4 linked regions of the Drosophila melanogaster genome follow. The protein of the gene in region 4 interacts with the protein of the main gene of each other region in a pairwise test. Each region holds a gene or a part of one and is shown on either strand. Other genes may lie near its edges.

Region 1 (4,866 bases), on a different chromosome or scaffold from region 4:
ATGGCGATGGTAATGGTGATGGTATATATGACTCTATCCTATGGCTCGGTATCTGAACGGATTTGCTGAACTTTGCTGTTACGGAGGAGGAGGAGGAGGAGGAGGAGGAGGGTTTCTTCTCTTTAAGAATTGAATCTGGCGAAAAGTGTGCAAATTGTGCGCGAGTTTCTGTGCCCGAGCGGATAAATTTGAATTCTGCATTTAGTTGGCTTATTGAGTTTGCATCCGTATATCTGTCGTGCTCGCTGGCAGCTCCTTTTAAGCCAACTATTCCAATGACTAATTTCATTTGGCTGCAGTTTGCCCGAAAGCCAAAGAGGCGTCATGCGAAGACAGCAAAAGGGGGTGGGGGAATACACAGGGAATATTTGCTTACTATTCAGATATTTATTAGATTAGTCTTCGATTTGTTGTCAGGTTATAGATACATCTTTATTAAAAAGAATGCTAAAAGATAGATAGAATATTTAATTCTTTTATGTTTCGATTTAAGCCAAATCTTTTATGGACTTATTCTGTTAAATATCTATAAGATAGTTCAGAAATAAAACTAGAAGCTGAACATTGATTTCCTGCAGAATATGACTTTATTTAGTTCAGTTATATGTAAAACTGCTTAGATCCATGCATTTGAAATTAAATAACTTCTTGCAAAGTCGCGCATAAACGTTTCTTTATTTTCAGGCCTTATTGTCTTAGTGTCTTATAAATGGCTAATTTCTTGAGTTTTTTTTTCTGTGTGTAGATGTAATATGGGCACTTGGGCAGCAGCACTTTTGGGCCACTTGTTTCTCGAAATTGAAAACCATGAGGCGCATTTAAAAAGATGAAGTGACAACTGGCATACTGATGACGACACACAGGAGAAGGGCTTGGGGGGTGCACGGGTAGGGGGAAGGGTGAGGGGAGGAGCTGTAAGTGTGTGTGTGGAGCGTATAAATATAACAAGTGCCAAGTGAAATATGTACATAAATAAGCCAGCGCAGAGATACTATGCGACGTAGACACAGATACAGTGCTCACTGGCCCTAAAAGATACATTTTGAAATAGTATCTGTTATGTTTGTGAAAGTCAACTGAGTGCATTTTCTATTAGTTAAGATGTTTTTAGTGGTTCTCATAAGAACTTTTGAAGGATTATAAAAAGTCCATTGAATTGCACCTTTTTTGCAACTTTAAATGGTTTTCTAGATTTCAAAATACATCTTTTCAACGAATTTGTTCTCCTGTTTTTTTTTAATGTTTTTCTTATTGGTTCTTCACTGTACCGCTTTTGTCTATTATCGCCGTTTTATGTGTCTGTTTCTACCGCTGCATTTGTGCATTTTTGCATTTCTGCCCTCTTCCAGCAGCTGCGACTAATTGTTGAAAGAAAAAAATGTATTAAACGAAAAAACAAAAAACAAGAGGAATGGAAAAAATGTTGGCGGATAAAAAAAAGGACTAGGGGACAAAAGGAGGCAGGATGCAAAGGACTTGTTCGCGCTGCTGACTGCGAAAAGTGCAACAAACTTTGACAAAATAAAACGAAAATTCCGCCCAAAGGTACAAACGGGGCGTGGCAATGGGGGCGGCGAACCGATGAAGCGCCCCTTCTTGCAACTTCAAATCGCAAGCACACACACAACCACACACACAACCACACACACACAGACAGTCAGCCGCAGCTGGAGATTCTCACACACATGTGAAAAAATCGCGAGTTGCATGAAAAAAAAGAAACTGCATTGAAATTGAAGCACTCTCATTAGGAGGAAGAAGCAGAAGAAGTTGCAGCAGGAACCAGAAGAAGAAGAAGAAGAGGACGCAGAAGAAGAAGGTGATGAAGACCAGGAGACGAGAAAGCGCAAAAAGTGGTAACCGCAGCAAAAATAATTCCCATTTTTCGAAAGCGATGGCAAAAGCAAAGATAACAGCTTAACTGTTGATGGAAAATGCATTAAAATAAGTACATAAGCTGCATACAAATTTCAGGCACTAAACTGAATAAATATTAATGGGATTTCAAAATGTTGAACAAATATTACGGGTAAATCATAATAATAATATATTCACTGGCAGCTTTTTGTTGTTCACGCTTAAATGTGCAAGCTGTAGTGTTAATAAAAACGTTACTTAAACTTAAACATAAACTTAAACTACAATATGATTAACATTGCTTTCCAGTTCGAAAACGTAACAAGCTGCAATATCTCAATATTTTACGAAAGGGCCACGTAGGTGACGAAAAAAGTACAAAGTTGAAAATCAAATTGAATGACACGAAACAACTCATCAAAAACTTTTAAGATAAGCCTCTTACTAGTTCAATCTAGATTTTTACTTGCAACAGCGGCTAAAATATCAATAAATTAACTGATTAGGCAAAACATATATAGAACGAGGAATTTATATTAGTTAAAAGGTAAATAGTAAACCAATTTAGGGACGAATGCAACAAAGTAAACAGCGCAGATAAATAATGCTTCAGAATGTAATTGGCTAAGCGGCATATTTACCTGATTTGTTGTTGTTTTGGCGGCAGGTTTCCCATTAAACATTGTAAAGCAACAACAACAACAATAACAGCTGTCTCTCTTTCTCTCCCGCTTTCGCACTCCTGTTGTTATTGCTGTCTCGTTCTGGCAAGGAGTTTCGGTGCTGTTGTTGTTGCTGCCGCTAACTATTGTTGCTTGCACTTGTTGTATTTTTGTCACACAAACAAACAAACACGCACACACGCTCGCACACAATGTTGCACGTTGCGTGTGCCCTGCTGCTGCTGCTTCTTCTTCTTTCGTTACTTGCCGCGCCGCACGCTCTTCCTCTTACACTTCCCAAAGCCCCTTACCAATTGACCAATGGCATCGGAATCGGAATCGTAAACAAATGCAGCGCGCTCGCACTCTTCGTCACTCGAATGCTTTCGTCACGTCACCGTGTTCTCGCTTCTTTTTGCAGCAAATATGCACTCGATTCGCACTTTTCGCGACGACAACCGATTTTGGAGCTGTTTGGGGGCAGAGTGTGACCGTCGGGCGCAGCGGGCTGCACGTCGACTGCGGCGTCGCTGAAATTACCTAAAATATCTGTATGGCGCAATGGTGTGGCGTGGTGTTTGGTTACTACGCTGGAACGGTCACACTGGAAAAGAAAGCTCAATGCATTTAGCCAAGACAGGAACCAGTCGAAAGCTTAAATCGCCAGCTGTCGGCGGTTAGGCAAACTGCTACGGCTCGACTTTCTCCAGCTCGTCATAGGTGGCGCCACGGTTAGTGCAGATAATCATCTCATAGGTGGCGCCAATGATAGTGTTAAGATTAAGGCCTTTTAGCAACTTTCCTATAAAATAAATTGCGAAAAAAAGTATTTCCATGGGAAACTTTGTGCTGTCAAATAAGTGCTTAAAACATGTATTGATTACAACGTGTGCACATTAATAAGCTATGAAATAAAACGCTACGCCCGCCACTAATGAATTGACTTTAACTTTATGAAACGTTTTAATAAACTTTTCAATATACAAAGAAAGTTACAAAGAGTTTCGATACCTATAACTTTTTACCTCGGCAGACGAAAGGTCGAGTTATAAAGCATCGAGTGCATATATGTACACATTCTGATAACTGCGATATCTGTCTGAGTTTTACGATGCAGTGTTTGTTAAGTCAGTGGGCGAAGGCAAATGGTTAATTATGTTACAAGTTGACGCAAATTTATGGCCAACTAATCAATTGATTGTTGCTAATTGATAACCGATGTGATAACATAAGGCCCGCATATAGAAGAAATTCCTCACATCCGCAATACCTCGAAATTTCTATGACAACCACTTTGAACTATTATCACCAAAACTCTATGAAAGGGGTACTTTTTTTTTAGAATTACTGGGTGCATTACCATAAATTTTATCAGTTACGTTGCTCGATGTCGATCGAATTAAACTTAAATTTATACTTTAATCTGTATACTTCTGTTGTGTGTGTAAAAAATAGATTTATTAAAAAAAAAATGGAATAAAGGCAAAGCTGTCCGTCTAGATCCTCACCAGAACCTCGTAATTCTCCAGACGCACCTCCTCGCCACCGAATGGGATGTAGATGCAGCCGTGCGAGGGATGGATCTTGCCCACACTCAAGCTGTCGCAGTAGATGGCCCTGCCGACGTAGAGGGGCTCCCCGTCGACATTCGGACCGGAGGACAGGGCTCCGGGAGCCACATTTCCGTGCGAGGCCGGAACCCAACGGAATCCGGATCCCGTCAGCACCTGGACGTCGGTGAGCTCGTGCTCCGCCTGGGCATAGGCGGCATAGGCTTTCCCCTTCGCCGGCACCACTTTGGCTGGCAGCAGATCACCATTGCGGAACACCCTGCCCACGTAGATGGTGTCCCCGTTGGAATCGTGCCCAGCAACCAGAGCTCCATCCGGAATATTTGTTGCGGTGGTGTCGATCCAACGTTCCGGCTGGCACAGCACCTCGTAGGCAAAGATCTTAACCTCATCGGAATCGTAGGGAATATACAGGCAGCCGTGGGATGGATGCACCTTGCCCATGGTTAAGCTGCCGGCATGATAACCCCTGCCCGCATACAAATACTCGCCGTCCACATTCCGACCAACTTTGACGGCGCCCGGCGGCACCTCCCCGTTCTCCGCCGACAGCCACTCGTAGTTGTAGCCGGAAAGCACCTCGTAGTTCTCCAGCTCGTGCTCCTCGCGCGCATACGCCACGTAGGCCTTGCCCTTGTTGGGAATCACCTTCGCCGGCAGCATGTCGTTGGAGAAGAAGGCACGGCCCACGTAGATGGTGTCCCCGTCCGAATCGTGACCAGCCACCACGGCATTCGGCGGCACGCTGCCGTTGCTGAAGTGCATCCATCTGTGGT
Region 2 (2,985 bases), on a different chromosome or scaffold from region 4:
GAGGAAGGTGGCGAGAAGTACGAGTACCACGGTGATCTTCATGGTGAGCAAATGCTACAATAGATGCCTTGCTACTGATGCTGTCTTGAAGAACGAAAGCCAGCTTTTATAGTAGTCTTCTCAACTGGGTTTATCCTCTTTTGCAAATTTTTGTCAACAGTTTTGGCCAAAACAAAGGGAGCGTTTTTGCAGAACAAAAAACCCGCAAGTTTGTCAATTGTTCATTGTGCCCAATTGTTCAAACAGTCAAGTAAGTTAAGTGCAAATATATAATATAACTTTTAAGAAATGCCCAATTATGTATGTCCAATTTATATTCGCTACGCAAAAGATATGAAAGATTTTGTTACGTAATTGCTTAACTGTGGTAATTAGTATAAAAGACCACGGCCTCTGGCTGCAGACATCAGTTGTCCAGCCACTGGCCATCCAACATGCGCTACTCCTGTGTTCTTTTACTTCTGGCCACCGTTGCCTGTCTGCTAATCCCACAGACAGGTGGCTCCACGGCCACCACAACCTCAACTTCTGCTTCGGCTACCACCACCACTTCCGCCTCGGCCACGACAACCACTGCGTCGGATACAACTACTACCACAGCGGCTACCACAACCACTTCGTCCTCCTCCTCAAAGAGTAAAAAGAAGAAGAGGACGTATCACTATACACGTCATGTTTATAGGCCAAAGCGGATACGACATATCTATAGGCACAAGGCCGACGACGACGAAAGCTCTACCGATCGCACCAGCACACGCAGCCGTCGTCGTCGCCGCAGCAGTAGCAGCAGTAGCAGCAGTGGCAGCACCAGTAGCCGCAGTGGTAACAGTCGCATCCGCCGCAGGAGAGCCCGAAGTGCCCGACGCCTGTCTTAGTGACCACATCTTGTACAACAAACCAACTGATCTGATCGTGACGCCTTTGAAAATGTAGTTTTTCTTTTTGGTTTTCTTTTTTCCGTTCAAAACACTTAAGGCAAATAAAATGAATATTTCGATATTAGTTCATTCTGCTTATCAATGCCGCTTAAAGCATTTACTTATGCTTTTACTTATGCATTTACTTTACAAAACAGATCGAGATAAGAAGCATCACTTGTTGTTTAAAGTGTATGTCAAGTTCGTTACAACGTATAATTAACCATTGAAATTTTGATCAAATAGTTACTTTCAGAAAAAATATAAAGGGCATACTCCTACAATAAATGCTATATATTATAATCTTAAGTATTATTATCTACCCCAGACGTTATTTAATATAGTTAATAATAGCGCTTTCCTAAGCTACGTACACAATGTGTTTGTTTGTCTATAATTCAGACAAGCTACAAATGAAAGTAAACAATTTATGGCAAAATCATTTTAATTGGTTAATATTTTTCCATTATTTGCTTAAGAGAATAAGTTTAAAGCTGATGTGTTCCGTGTTTTAAAAGCCGTAGTATACTTTTTAGGGGAAATTATTTAAGTGGCAGAATATATAGTTGAATATAGTATAGTATATAGTATATATATAGTAAAGAATCTATATATATAGTATAGTATATAAAGTTGAATTTTTCTGCAGTTTTTACAATGCGTTTATCGTATATAGATTTAACCTAAGTCATTTGCATTTATTTAAAAACCAAGTAACGGTTGACAAAACTAGACTTCCGTTGGCATTAGTGGCTTAAGTGATTTTTATAATAACAGTTAATAAATTTTCGCAAAATGACAAGCTCCATACAAAAATAGATTATCATGCCTCTTGTACATGTGCAAATTTTATCTGTTTAAACAATTGTGCCAATACGAAAAATAGCGAATTTTTGTTTGGCCAAAAATAACATCTTTTCTTTGGCTGACACAGTTTGGCCGAAGAGGATAAACCCAGTAGAGAAGACTACTATAAAAGCTGGCTTTCGTTCTTCAAGACAGCATCAGTAGCAAGGCATCTATTGTAGCATTTGCTCACCATGAAGATCACCGTGGTACTCGTACTTCTCGCCACCTTCCTCGGCTGTGTGATGATCCACGAGTCGGAGGCGTCCACAACCACCACGTCCACCTCCGCCTCGGCCACTACCACTACTTCCGCTTCGGCGACCACCACTACTTCCGCTTCGGCCACCACCACCACTTCCGCTTCGGCCACCACAACAACAGCCTCACCTTCCTCGAGCTCAAAAAAGAAGACTGTCACTCACTATAAGCGAAAGGTCAAGAGGCCAAAGAAGGTCAGGAAAATCACAAGGAGAAGGGGTCTCAGGAGCCGCAATGGTCGCAGCAGTAGAAACCGCAGATCGGAAGAATAAGAGATCCAGGACCAATAGAAAATCCACGCCACTCTCAATGCTGAACCCCAGGAACCAATTGTTTTCTTTTTTTTTTATTTCTTAGTCCATAAGCTTAACTAACACTACAATAATTCTTTTACAAGTCAATTAAGAAATCATAAAAAAATATACATATTTTGTGACATGTCAGTCAAATGTTATTTATTCAGTTATTGGCCAAACAAAATTTAGCAACTAGTTGTTTTGCACAATTGTTTAAACATTTGAAATGCCTTTACTTTATAAATAAATATATGATGCGCATAAATGTGTAAGTTCTTGTATATTTTTTTTAACATCTATAGTGATTTAGCTAATCATTTTATATTAATTTTCAGAACAAATATTTTATTCATGATCATCTGAATGTGAATGCGAAATCTGAAATCCTTTTTAATAAGTTGATTAAAATGCAGACGAGCATTAAACATTTATTCGTCAAGGCTTTTCTGGGCCTCAAAAGTTGCGTTTCCATTGAAATCCATTAGCACAAAACCGAACTCGAGGAAACCCGCAAAAGCCCCAAAAGGAAAATTTGTGCAAGCGGCAAAATACTCGTAAGCAAAAACTTTTCAGCCCAAAAAAGCGAATGGGGAAATTCGAAAAGCTGTTGCCATAGATACCGCACACTCACACACATATATATATATATAGGTACATATATGTAT
Region 3 (4,903 bases), on a different chromosome or scaffold from region 4:
AGTACCAATTAAACACGTATTCCCTCAGTGTATCAACCAGTATCTATCGGCTACGTAGAACACTGAAGCAACAGCAACAACATGACACGAGTGGACGGCGAGCAAACAGAGAACAACGCACACTCTCCGCCGCACACACACAGATACTAACACGGACACACACCAATGCGCCAATACAAACACACACAGCTGGCTGCTCAACAGCAGGGAACTTTTTATTGTTGTTGCTGGCAACGAACAACAAATAAGACAAACAATGCACACGCACACGAATGACGAGTGTTTTCGAGTCGGAGAAACGGCAACTGCGCGGTACGAAATGCAAAGATACAGATACAATGAGTTGGTTGTCGGTTGTGGAGGGTAGGAAAGGGACACAGGCCAACAAAAATAGTTGCACTGCATCAAGAGTGTTGCCTGTCGTTAGAGGCTAGTCACCCACCCCGAAAGGATCTCTCAAAGGATCAGCGGACTACTAGGTAATCCTGATCGAAATCGATTGATTCAAATGGATTTTCAAAAGATATATCATGTTCAAGATCTTTTTGTTGGGCAATACAATTTTTACATATGTATGTTGATTGTTATGTTGAATATAACTTCAGGCTTATTATTACTGTCTAATGGTAATGTTTCTATTTATTTCCACGTCCATTAACATGTATAATTGGTTTTCCCCAAAATATGTTAGTGAACAGGTGACAGTCGCAAATAGAAAATACACATTTTTTACGCTGTAACTCTGACAAAAAAAATAAAACACAGGAACCCAAATAGTTTACCTGAAAACTTACCTGCGAATTTCCAGTGATCATAATTCCATTGTGCGCTTCTTCTTCTTCTTTGCTCTAACTCTCAGGGAACATTGAAACAACAACAGTTGCTTACTCAGCACCGCACACAAACATAAACTGCGCTCTCACGGACACTACAACAGCTGTCGCTCTCAGAACCAACAACAAAGCGAGCAAACAAAAATCATGTTGTTGTTGCTCACAAAGCTTTGCAATTTCTCTGCCGCTAACATCGCTGCTTTTGTGTAGTTGTTGCTGCCGCCCGAGTTGCCAACAAGCTTTCCAACAACATTTGTTTACATTTCAAATTTATTAGGCGAGCTTTTCGGACATTTGAACAAGCTTCGTGGGCTACTCGCTAGGTGGCGCATGCTACTTCCGGTATAGATTTGAACAGCTATTTTTTTTAATTTACTTCAGAAATAAAATAAGCATTTATGCATATTTAAATATAAATAGATAAATATACCTGTTTCAGTTTCGTTAGAATGCACAATTTACTCTTGACTAAATGACTTCCGAGCAAACAAAATATTTAAACAATATTGTTAATAAAAAATAAGAAATGATTACTTAAGCTCTTACGTTTCCCTCCAACGGTCATTTGATATGTCATTATCCAAACACTCATATTGTTATTCACACGCGAAAAGCTCGACAAAGCTCAAAAGGACTCACTCCTTAGGCCAAAACTGTCAGGGTTTATGTATTCCGCCTGACAGCAGACCACCAACCCAGTTATTTCCAGCACTTTAACGATTTGTTTACAACTTTGTTGCCCTGCAATTTACCGCTAGCATACGGACCTGCCAGCCAGCCCAGCTTTTCACCCCTTTCCGACCGCTTGGAAAAGCTTTTCTCGGCGGGCAGGATGTCTTGTCCTGCGTGTGCTCAAAAATTCAATAAAAAGGAGGCTCGTTTCTGTTGTGGCCTACATGCCACAGCAAGGACGAGCAATCGGTTACCGAGCCGAACGCGGCCCGAGGAAAACTTGGTCACCGGGTGGGTAATGGGAAATGGAAAAGGGCCGAAAATGGGGGCGGGTGGCGAAGCAAGGAGCAAGGAGAGAGCTTCCAAGTGCAGCGGAGCTCAGTTGCCATAGGACAGTCGAGGCGAGTGCTCGTCCTTGGTCGCAACGGGCTCCCGGAAAAGCGGTCCATCGGCTGTCGAGTGTCATTGTTTTGGTTACGCGACTGCCCCGCTAGTGTTGGTGACCATCTGTGTGCGCTTAAAAATATATTCGACATGAATTATTTACGCAAAACGAGTGCTGGAAAGTTTTGAAAAGTGCGGAGAACGAGTGCGGAGTTGAGTAAGCGGAAAGTTTTGACTCGAAGAACACTTTGTCTGACAATTTGCAGCGGCATCAAGGATGCAGTCTCCTTTGCACTGGGATGAAGAATGCATTTTCCGAAGCGCAGTATGTGACTCTTTCTCTTTTCAGTGAAAAACCCCCCTCCATTTTCGCGCTCTGTCGCTCTCTCTCTCTCTCCCGCTCGCTTCCTATTGTTTTTCTCAGAGTGTAGAGTTTCGATTTCGTTAGAAAATCGAAACAAAAGCGAACCAGGCTCTCGAGGAATTGTGGGAGTCGTTGCTGCGGCTACCTGTAGATGCCACATAAACACACACAGATACGAGCGCAAGGATGCGAGTGTGTGCGAGTCCTTGAACGAGGCTTTCGGTTGCCCACCCACATGCCACATCCGTATCCGTATCCATGTCCATGGCTGCCTTTCACTGCCCGCTTCCGACTCTAATTAACTTATGATTCAAGGTCCAATACGCTGCCACTGAAGGTTAAACATGACGACCCAGCGATTTTCGGTGGGGGTTTTTTCGTAAGAAACTTTTAAACAGCCCGCTGGCAGCTGTAATTGAGCGAATTCCGCGGAAGCTGCACTAAACTTTTACCAAGAATCGGCAGGAGTCAAGTTTTTGCCGCGACCTAACTCGAAAGTCGTGTAATGCGATAAAGTGGAAACTTAACCAGGGATCATCTAGTAGTTAAGCGCACACAAGTCGTAATTTTATTTGGCTGCCAGGACCCCAGAGACTCGTCGGCAATTAAGGCTGGCCAAACAATAAGCCACTGGGCGAAAACCCAAAAGGAACAAAAAAACAATTAACGTTCTAGAGTGGAAAACCCGCATTACGCATACGCCACGTCGGCAGTCTGGCAACTTTGAGGTGCGACCTCCGGGGGCTGTGGAAAAGTAGCGGGGGCGCCGGAAAAGCTCTTTCCCGCTGACCACCGGCGGTGCCATCATACTCTCTCACCTCCCCGAGAAAAATCCCGCCCCAAAAAATGCAGCAGAGAGCGGTTTCTTGCCGCTTTTTTTTTTTGTTTTTTGGCTGCTCCGCCGAAAAACATTTTCATTTCTCGCCTGAGCAGAAATTTCAATGATTTCCCTAGCTCAGTGTGAAACGAACCAACAACTCAAACGAAACGAACGCAAACGCGCGCGCGAGAAAAACAAACTAGAATAGAATAGAAGAAATTAACCTCTCCGCCGAAAAGGGAAAACCCCCAAAAAATATATAAAATAACACACGAAACGCTGAGGTCGGGGGCCCTAACCCAATGCTAACTGTAAACAATAATCGAACAAACGAATTTTTAAATTAACAGCGAATGAGTAATACCTGAGCGATTTATTAATCAGAAGCCGTGCGAGCAACAAAGAATCCACAAGTAGCTGGCCCACGGATAGATAAATAACTGCACAGATAATTGCTGGTACACGGTACTGGGCTCTATAAATAGCATCGAAATAATCGCGGAGACAATTGCAGGGCACTGGTGCAAAGTGAATGCGACTGAGTGCTGCCGGGCGGAACGCCGAGGATCTGTGAGTAGATAGAATAATATCCCCCAAAACCGCCGCATCCCGATCGCCTGGCTGCGAAATCGAAATAACAAACTTCAGTCACCTTGCGTTCTGCGTCACACACTCGGATACTTTGGGGAATGGGAGTCGTGTGGCATGGGTGTTTGCCTTCTCCATCCTCGCAACTACAGTAGAGCTTCCATGGCTTCAGCTGCACCTATTTCAAATGTCTGAGCCTATTTTGTATTGTAATTTAACTACACATGCTATTTATTTTCTGATCTTCCTGGTCAAATATGATATATTAATTAGTTTTTTAATTATCAATTCAAATTTTTATAGAGGTCATTAAATCTTCTAGTTCTCAGCACTTCTTCAATGGGATATTTATTTATATTTATTTAGCATAAAAGCTTTAAAGTGTACACTCAGTGTGAAGCTTCACTGTATTTGCCATTTGCCGTGTTGTTACTGCTGGTACTGGTACCACACGGCGTATGGGTGATGGCGAGCGGGCCAGCGGTTGGATGAGTGGTGCACACTTTTTATAGCCAGCAACAGTCACACAAGCCGCACAATCAAGCGCTCGTCTCGGTGTTTATGTCAATTTGAATTTTGCATGCGGCCAACAAACTTGAATGTGTCCTTTATGTTGGTGTTGTTGCTTGCGTTCTGAAATGTATCGGTAGGAAAAGGAGGTGTGGAAATGGGGGGGGGGTCGGTTTGGGGATACCGGAAGCTAACTAGAACTGCGCTTCATTGCAACTTTGTGTGCGACCTTTTGGTTTTGGAATGTGTGGGCAGTGGGCGGGGCACTTGTCGGGCGGAAACGGATATCCCGTGTGCTCTTTGCCTAGTTCGCCATCGCCGCCAAGCGCGTCTCCTGTTTGTCATTTCATCAACCTTCTTCTGGCTCCTAGCAGCTCCTCCTTCTGGTGTCCTTGCACATTTGCTGCGCAGGAAATTTTAAATCGAGTATGTGCCCACGGGTTGTCTGGTTGCATTTTGCTGTTTTTGCGGCTTTCTTGTTTGCTCTGCTTTCTGGGTGAGTCCTGATTTTTTTTCGGATTTCCCATCCTGTTGGCCACTGGGTCAGATTTGTTAGTTCACAAAGTTCACAACAGACGCAATAAAAGGAATTTTTAAAGCCACATTAAGATGGAACTGAAACTTTAAAGATTTTTCAAAAATTGTTTAAAAGTATAATTTTTCCGCATTTTTAAATGCTCGATATTTTTTGCAGTGTGTCGCGTTGGGTCGAAATGTATCTTCTACACGGCA
Region 4 (4,705 bases):
GTTTGTAGCTCTGTTTGTTGGAATTTTTACGATTCCCCGAACGTTTTCACACACATATATTTTTACACATCTGACACTATGTCGCGTGTCCAGGACAAACAAACAAAAATCCTGCCGAATGGGCCAATAAATGTACAGAGTCCTTCGTTGACCCAGTTTTCAGAGCCGAGGCGTCGAAAGCGGAAAACGAGAGAGCATTTTACTGCTGCTAAATTGCAAAAAAAAAAATAAAATGGGGCCAAAAGGCAGCTGGGCTTGCATTGCATGTCCAGTCACAGTTTTGTCCCACAATTAACCGCATCGATGGCAAATCGCAGCCAACAGCCATCATGCATCAGCCATAAGCTGAAAATACAAACTGAAAAATGAATGAAGCGCCACTCATGAATAATTGAGTGAAAAATAGCACAGCGAATTAAGTATGTAGATGTGACATGTCACAGCGAATTGAAAATAGATACAGGCCAGCTTCGTTACTTGGAGAAATATTTTTAAATATTATTTTATTCACAGCAAAAGATTACATTTTTTTCAGGAATTTAAGAATTCTGCACTATGGAAGTCTGACTGTGCTGAAATAAATGGTTTTTTTAGTGGGTGGACAGGATAGGATTGTCAGATGGTCGACCGAATATTTGGAAATCTTTCAGTTTTGGTCACTGTCAACTTCAATGACGACAGCGCCGGCCGTTTAGCATTTTAGACGCTTATGGCATAGGCCTCCCCCAGCATCTTGGATGTGGGATATCGGCCCCATTGGAGCGTCAGCGTCCTCAGAGATCGTGGCGTTTGATCACGATGCCCCACGGCGACGATGAAAATGGAAATGTTTGGAAATCGATGCACAGTGGAGAGCGAGATTCAAAACTAATCGGACAGTGGTCATTTTTTGCGAAGTTATATAAAAATACTATTATTAAATTTATTATGGCTTTGTGGGGTAATTGATAACATGCCCTGGCTAAGAATAGCCTCAAAACAATGTATAAAAAGTCTTATATAAAATAATATCTGACGCACTTTCATCCATAAATCGCTCTAAAAATAGTTCAAACGATTAGTGAAACGAACTGCATCACAAACACATCACAATTTCTATCGCTCATTGTTCCTCCACTGAAATCAAACACACCACTGTGCATCCAACAACAACAACGATGAATACTAAAACATCACAGATCAAGGAACATTACACAGAAACCAATTATTGGATATAATCTTATTGGGATCGGTTAATTTTAATTTTTTTTACATGACATATATACAATAAACGAAAAATAATTGAAAGGTATTCGAAAGTTTCCAAACACGAAACTTGGCTAGGCATCAGTATTTTCTTTCTGTGTACAACAACGAAAAACTGAACGGACGCGTAAGTTTGTGTTGTTCCTCGCCCGTATTCGAAAATAGCTTTTGACTAATAAATACTATAGACAGAAATCGAAAAAAGGCAGCAACAATCAACAAACGAACGAAAAAAAAATTAGAAATCAGCCCGCATAAGAATCAAAATTTTAAATTTGTTGCCCAAAGGAAAAGCGAAACTGATTTCGCAAGCCGCGGAAGACAAGAGGAAACCCCAAGAAAAACTCAAGGAAACTCAAAACAAACGCAAACAATCGCTGTGGCAGATAGTAATTGAATGGAAACAATTGAAAGCCTAACGAGGCTATGTTGAAAGTCGAAAATTGCGTAAAACAACAAGCAGATAAGTTGGCCAAAGAAAGTAAAACCCTTTTTTTTGGGGTGAGGAGAGGTCCTTTTTTACCGAATTAAGCCAACCGAAGTTTGTAAAAATATCAACGGCACGTATACGTTATAAAAATAATAAAACAAAAAAAGAGAGACAGGAAGAGACAGAAGCAAAAGAAAAACAACTGAACAAACATGTGGAGGGAAAAGAAAACAGTGGGAGGTGGGAATGGAGATGCTTAAATGTTTATCTGTCTGTGTGTGTGTGTGTCCCCTCCCACAACGGAACTTCTATTGTTTTTATGCGGGAGTACGAGCAGAGCGGTAGGGAGTGCGAGCGGGAGATGGAGAGATACAGTGATGTCGCTTTTAAAAGCCAGTTGAAGTTTTGAAGTTATAAATGGTAGAAAATAATTTAAAGTCAAATAGTTCATAACAAACAAAACCGATTTGTTTAATTTCAAAAAGAAAAACCCTTCTATTAATGTTTTTAATTAACCGCGTACTTGAATATTTATATAATCTTGTCCATTTAATGTTTTTAAGCCCGCTCATTAAAAAAAAAATATTTAAGTTAATATATTATTATATTTATTTTATTATTTATTTATTTATATTTTTTACTTCCTTTTCGATTAAATATTTCAAGCCGTACTTAAATAAGTTTCAACTTATGTTTTGGGCACCTCTGGGATCGAGAGAGTGGAAAGAGGGACTGAAAGAGCGGTAGGACTCCAAAGAGCGTGCGCACGGCTCCTCCCTCCGCCCGCGCGCCAAGCGTGAGAAAGAGGGGCGTAGGGAATACACAACACACACACATTCGCTCACGCAACACCCACACACACGCGCGCGAAAAGGAGGTCCGTGTGTTCCAGTTGTTGTTGTGATGGGAGAGAACCGAATCTCGCATTGTTGTTGTTGCTGCTGCTGCTGGAATCTACATACCCAGAATAAAATGTTTATAAGGACCATCAGATATTTGACGCACGAACAGCAGCCGTTGAGACCCATGGCGCGGATTGATATTCTTAAATAGGTAACTCCTTAAAAAGTAGCTGCAATTTAACTGGTTTTTCAACCACTTGGAGATGCTCTTTTTCCAAGGAACCCCGAACTGCAGTGTCGCCTGCACTTTTCGACCTTTTGCACTTTTTCAAAACACCCGCTCGATTGTACTATATTTTTCAAATTTTTTTAAAATTTCCCGTGCTAAAATCCACCGATTTGAGCCACTGTTTGCGCGATTGGCCGTTGCACCCGATTTGTTTTAAAAATTTTATTTGTGCATCGAGGCGTCCGTCCAACGTAAAATTCTTGTATCAGTGCGACCATTAGCTCGGCCGTTCAAATATACCAGCGGGTATAGAAAGGCTAAAAACCGAAAAGTGGTGACCCTTAGAAGATACCAAAGAAGTGGTTGAATAACTTTGATGAGGCTTAGCATGGCTTGCAACCTGCTTGGATTTGCAGCCTATACGCAAACCAAAGTGGCCTATCGATATTTTGGATAAGTTCTATTGCCAATTTTCCCAATAAAATAAAAACTTCACTTGAATGTTAAAAGTAATTTAGTTTCAGTGTTTACATAATGTTCAAATAACCTTTTGATTGTTATTATGAAAGTTAAAAATTAAAAATTTAGATATTCTAACTAACTATTATCCCCAATGTTTCAGCTATAATCACCATATTTAAAGTAGATTTCATTTTAAAGTATAAATTTGTGGTTGTTTACATTATTTTAACATGTCTATTTAATTATTACTATGAAAGTGGGTAATTGAAAATTAGGATATTCCAGGTTTTTGATTTACTTTGGCTATGATTTTCCCAAAATATTTAAATCTGTAAATGTAAACAGTTTGAAATGTGACCTTAATAGTTCATGCTTTGTTCATTCTTCTGCGAAACGGTCACACTGTTCGCGCAGGCGAAAATGGCCTAAAGCGTGAAATGTTTAATTCGTTGTTGTTTCTCCTCCGCAATAGTTACTAATAGAAACAAATGCAAAATGGCTGTCTAACGTTTAAGTGCAGCGACCGCCGAAGATCGTGGAAATATGCATGAAAAGCGGCTCGCAGGCAAATGAAAGGCGCGTGAAAATGTAGCAGACACCTTTTTATCGCGAAAACGAACATCGGTGCAAAGGGAAAAACAAAAACCAAGGAAAATACAGCCAAACGCGAATGTGAATGTGAAGGCAAAGTAAGCGAAAAGTCCCCCAACTTTTTTGGGGAGTATCGAGTGCACCACATACGTTTTTCAATATATATTTCGATTGCATTGAAATCAGAAACATGACAATTTCCCCCCTTCCCTTATTGCTGTTGTTGTTGTTGTCGGCTTGTTGCAAGTTTGTGTGAGTGTGTCTTGTAATTTTGTTACGCAGTGGAGCGAAGTTGGAGTTTTGTGGAATGGAAATGGAATGAAGTGGAACGAAGTGGAGTGTAACCAAACACGAAATGGAAAAACGAGGAAAAAACCTTAAAGCGCAGCCTAAGCTTTAGTCGTACTGAAAATTTCTCAAGCGCTGCAAGCCAGTCTTTGCCAAAGTAAAGCCCCTACCTCCCCCCCCCTCTTTTTGCATAATAAACGAAAAACGTTGCGCCCACTTTACGCACTTGTTTTTATGCTTTCCGCGTTCAGTGCACTTAAAAACTTAATTGGTTCCCCCGTCGGCGGTGCTAATGTAGCGCATTTCACTGTTTTCAACGTAAATATAATTATATTAGCAAACGTTTACAAGCAAGATTGGATTAGTAATATGTAGTAGCTTGCTAGAAATCCTAATAAAAATGTGAATAATAATATATACGGTTTCATTTAATATTTTGAAAAGTTTTAATAGAAAAAAGTACAGCTTTTCTAAAAGCTACCCTTATATTGTGTTTCTTTCTCACGAAATAAACTACTGTGTAGAAGGTAGCGGTAAATATTTATGTTTAAAGTCCACTCTCTTCTATGTTAGAGGTATACCCCTCGCCCCTTGGCCACTGCGAATGCTGTATCTTCG

Evidence for each region.
Region 1: the proteins of Tsp96F (region 4) and Tpst interact in a two-hybrid assay, tested with the Drosophila melanogaster proteins (one large-scale study listed by BioGRID).
Region 2: the proteins of Tsp96F (region 4) and ng2 interact in a two-hybrid assay, tested with the Drosophila melanogaster proteins (one large-scale study listed by BioGRID).
Region 3: the proteins of Tsp96F (region 4) and jp interact in a two-hybrid assay, tested with the Drosophila melanogaster proteins (one large-scale study listed by BioGRID).

Annotation. Positions count from the first base shown.
Region 1 is NC_004354.4:13,561,966-13,566,831, reverse strand, and holds the start of Tpst (tyrosylprotein sulfotransferase), read right to left. Parts: upstream 3,010-4,866; 5' UTR 2,499-3,009; intron 1-2,498. Other genes in the region: CG32633 (uncharacterized protein), read right to left, coding at 4,016-4,866. UniProt on the Drosophila melanogaster protein: Catalyzes the O-sulfation of tyrosine residues within acidic motifs of polypeptides. Has a role in protein secretion.
Region 2 is NC_004354.4:3,239,507-3,242,491, reverse strand, and holds ng2 (new glue 2), read left to right. Parts: upstream 1-1,920; 5' UTR 1,921-1,957; coding exon 1,958-2,296; 3' UTR 2,297-2,466; downstream 2,467-2,985. Other genes in the region: ng1 (new glue 1), read right to left, coding at 1-42; ng3 (new glue 3), read left to right, coding at 435-875.
Region 3 is NT_033779.5:9,563,744-9,568,646, reverse strand, and holds the start of jp (junctophilin), read left to right. Parts: upstream 1-1,896; 5' UTR 1,897-2,214; intron 2,215-3,208; exon of another isoform or gene 3,209-3,643; intron 3,644-4,903.
Region 4 is NT_033777.3:25,878,379-25,883,083, forward strand, and holds the start of Tsp96F (tetraspanin 96F), read right to left. Parts: upstream 3,050-4,705; 5' UTR 2,704-3,049; coding exon 2,638-2,703; intron 1-2,637.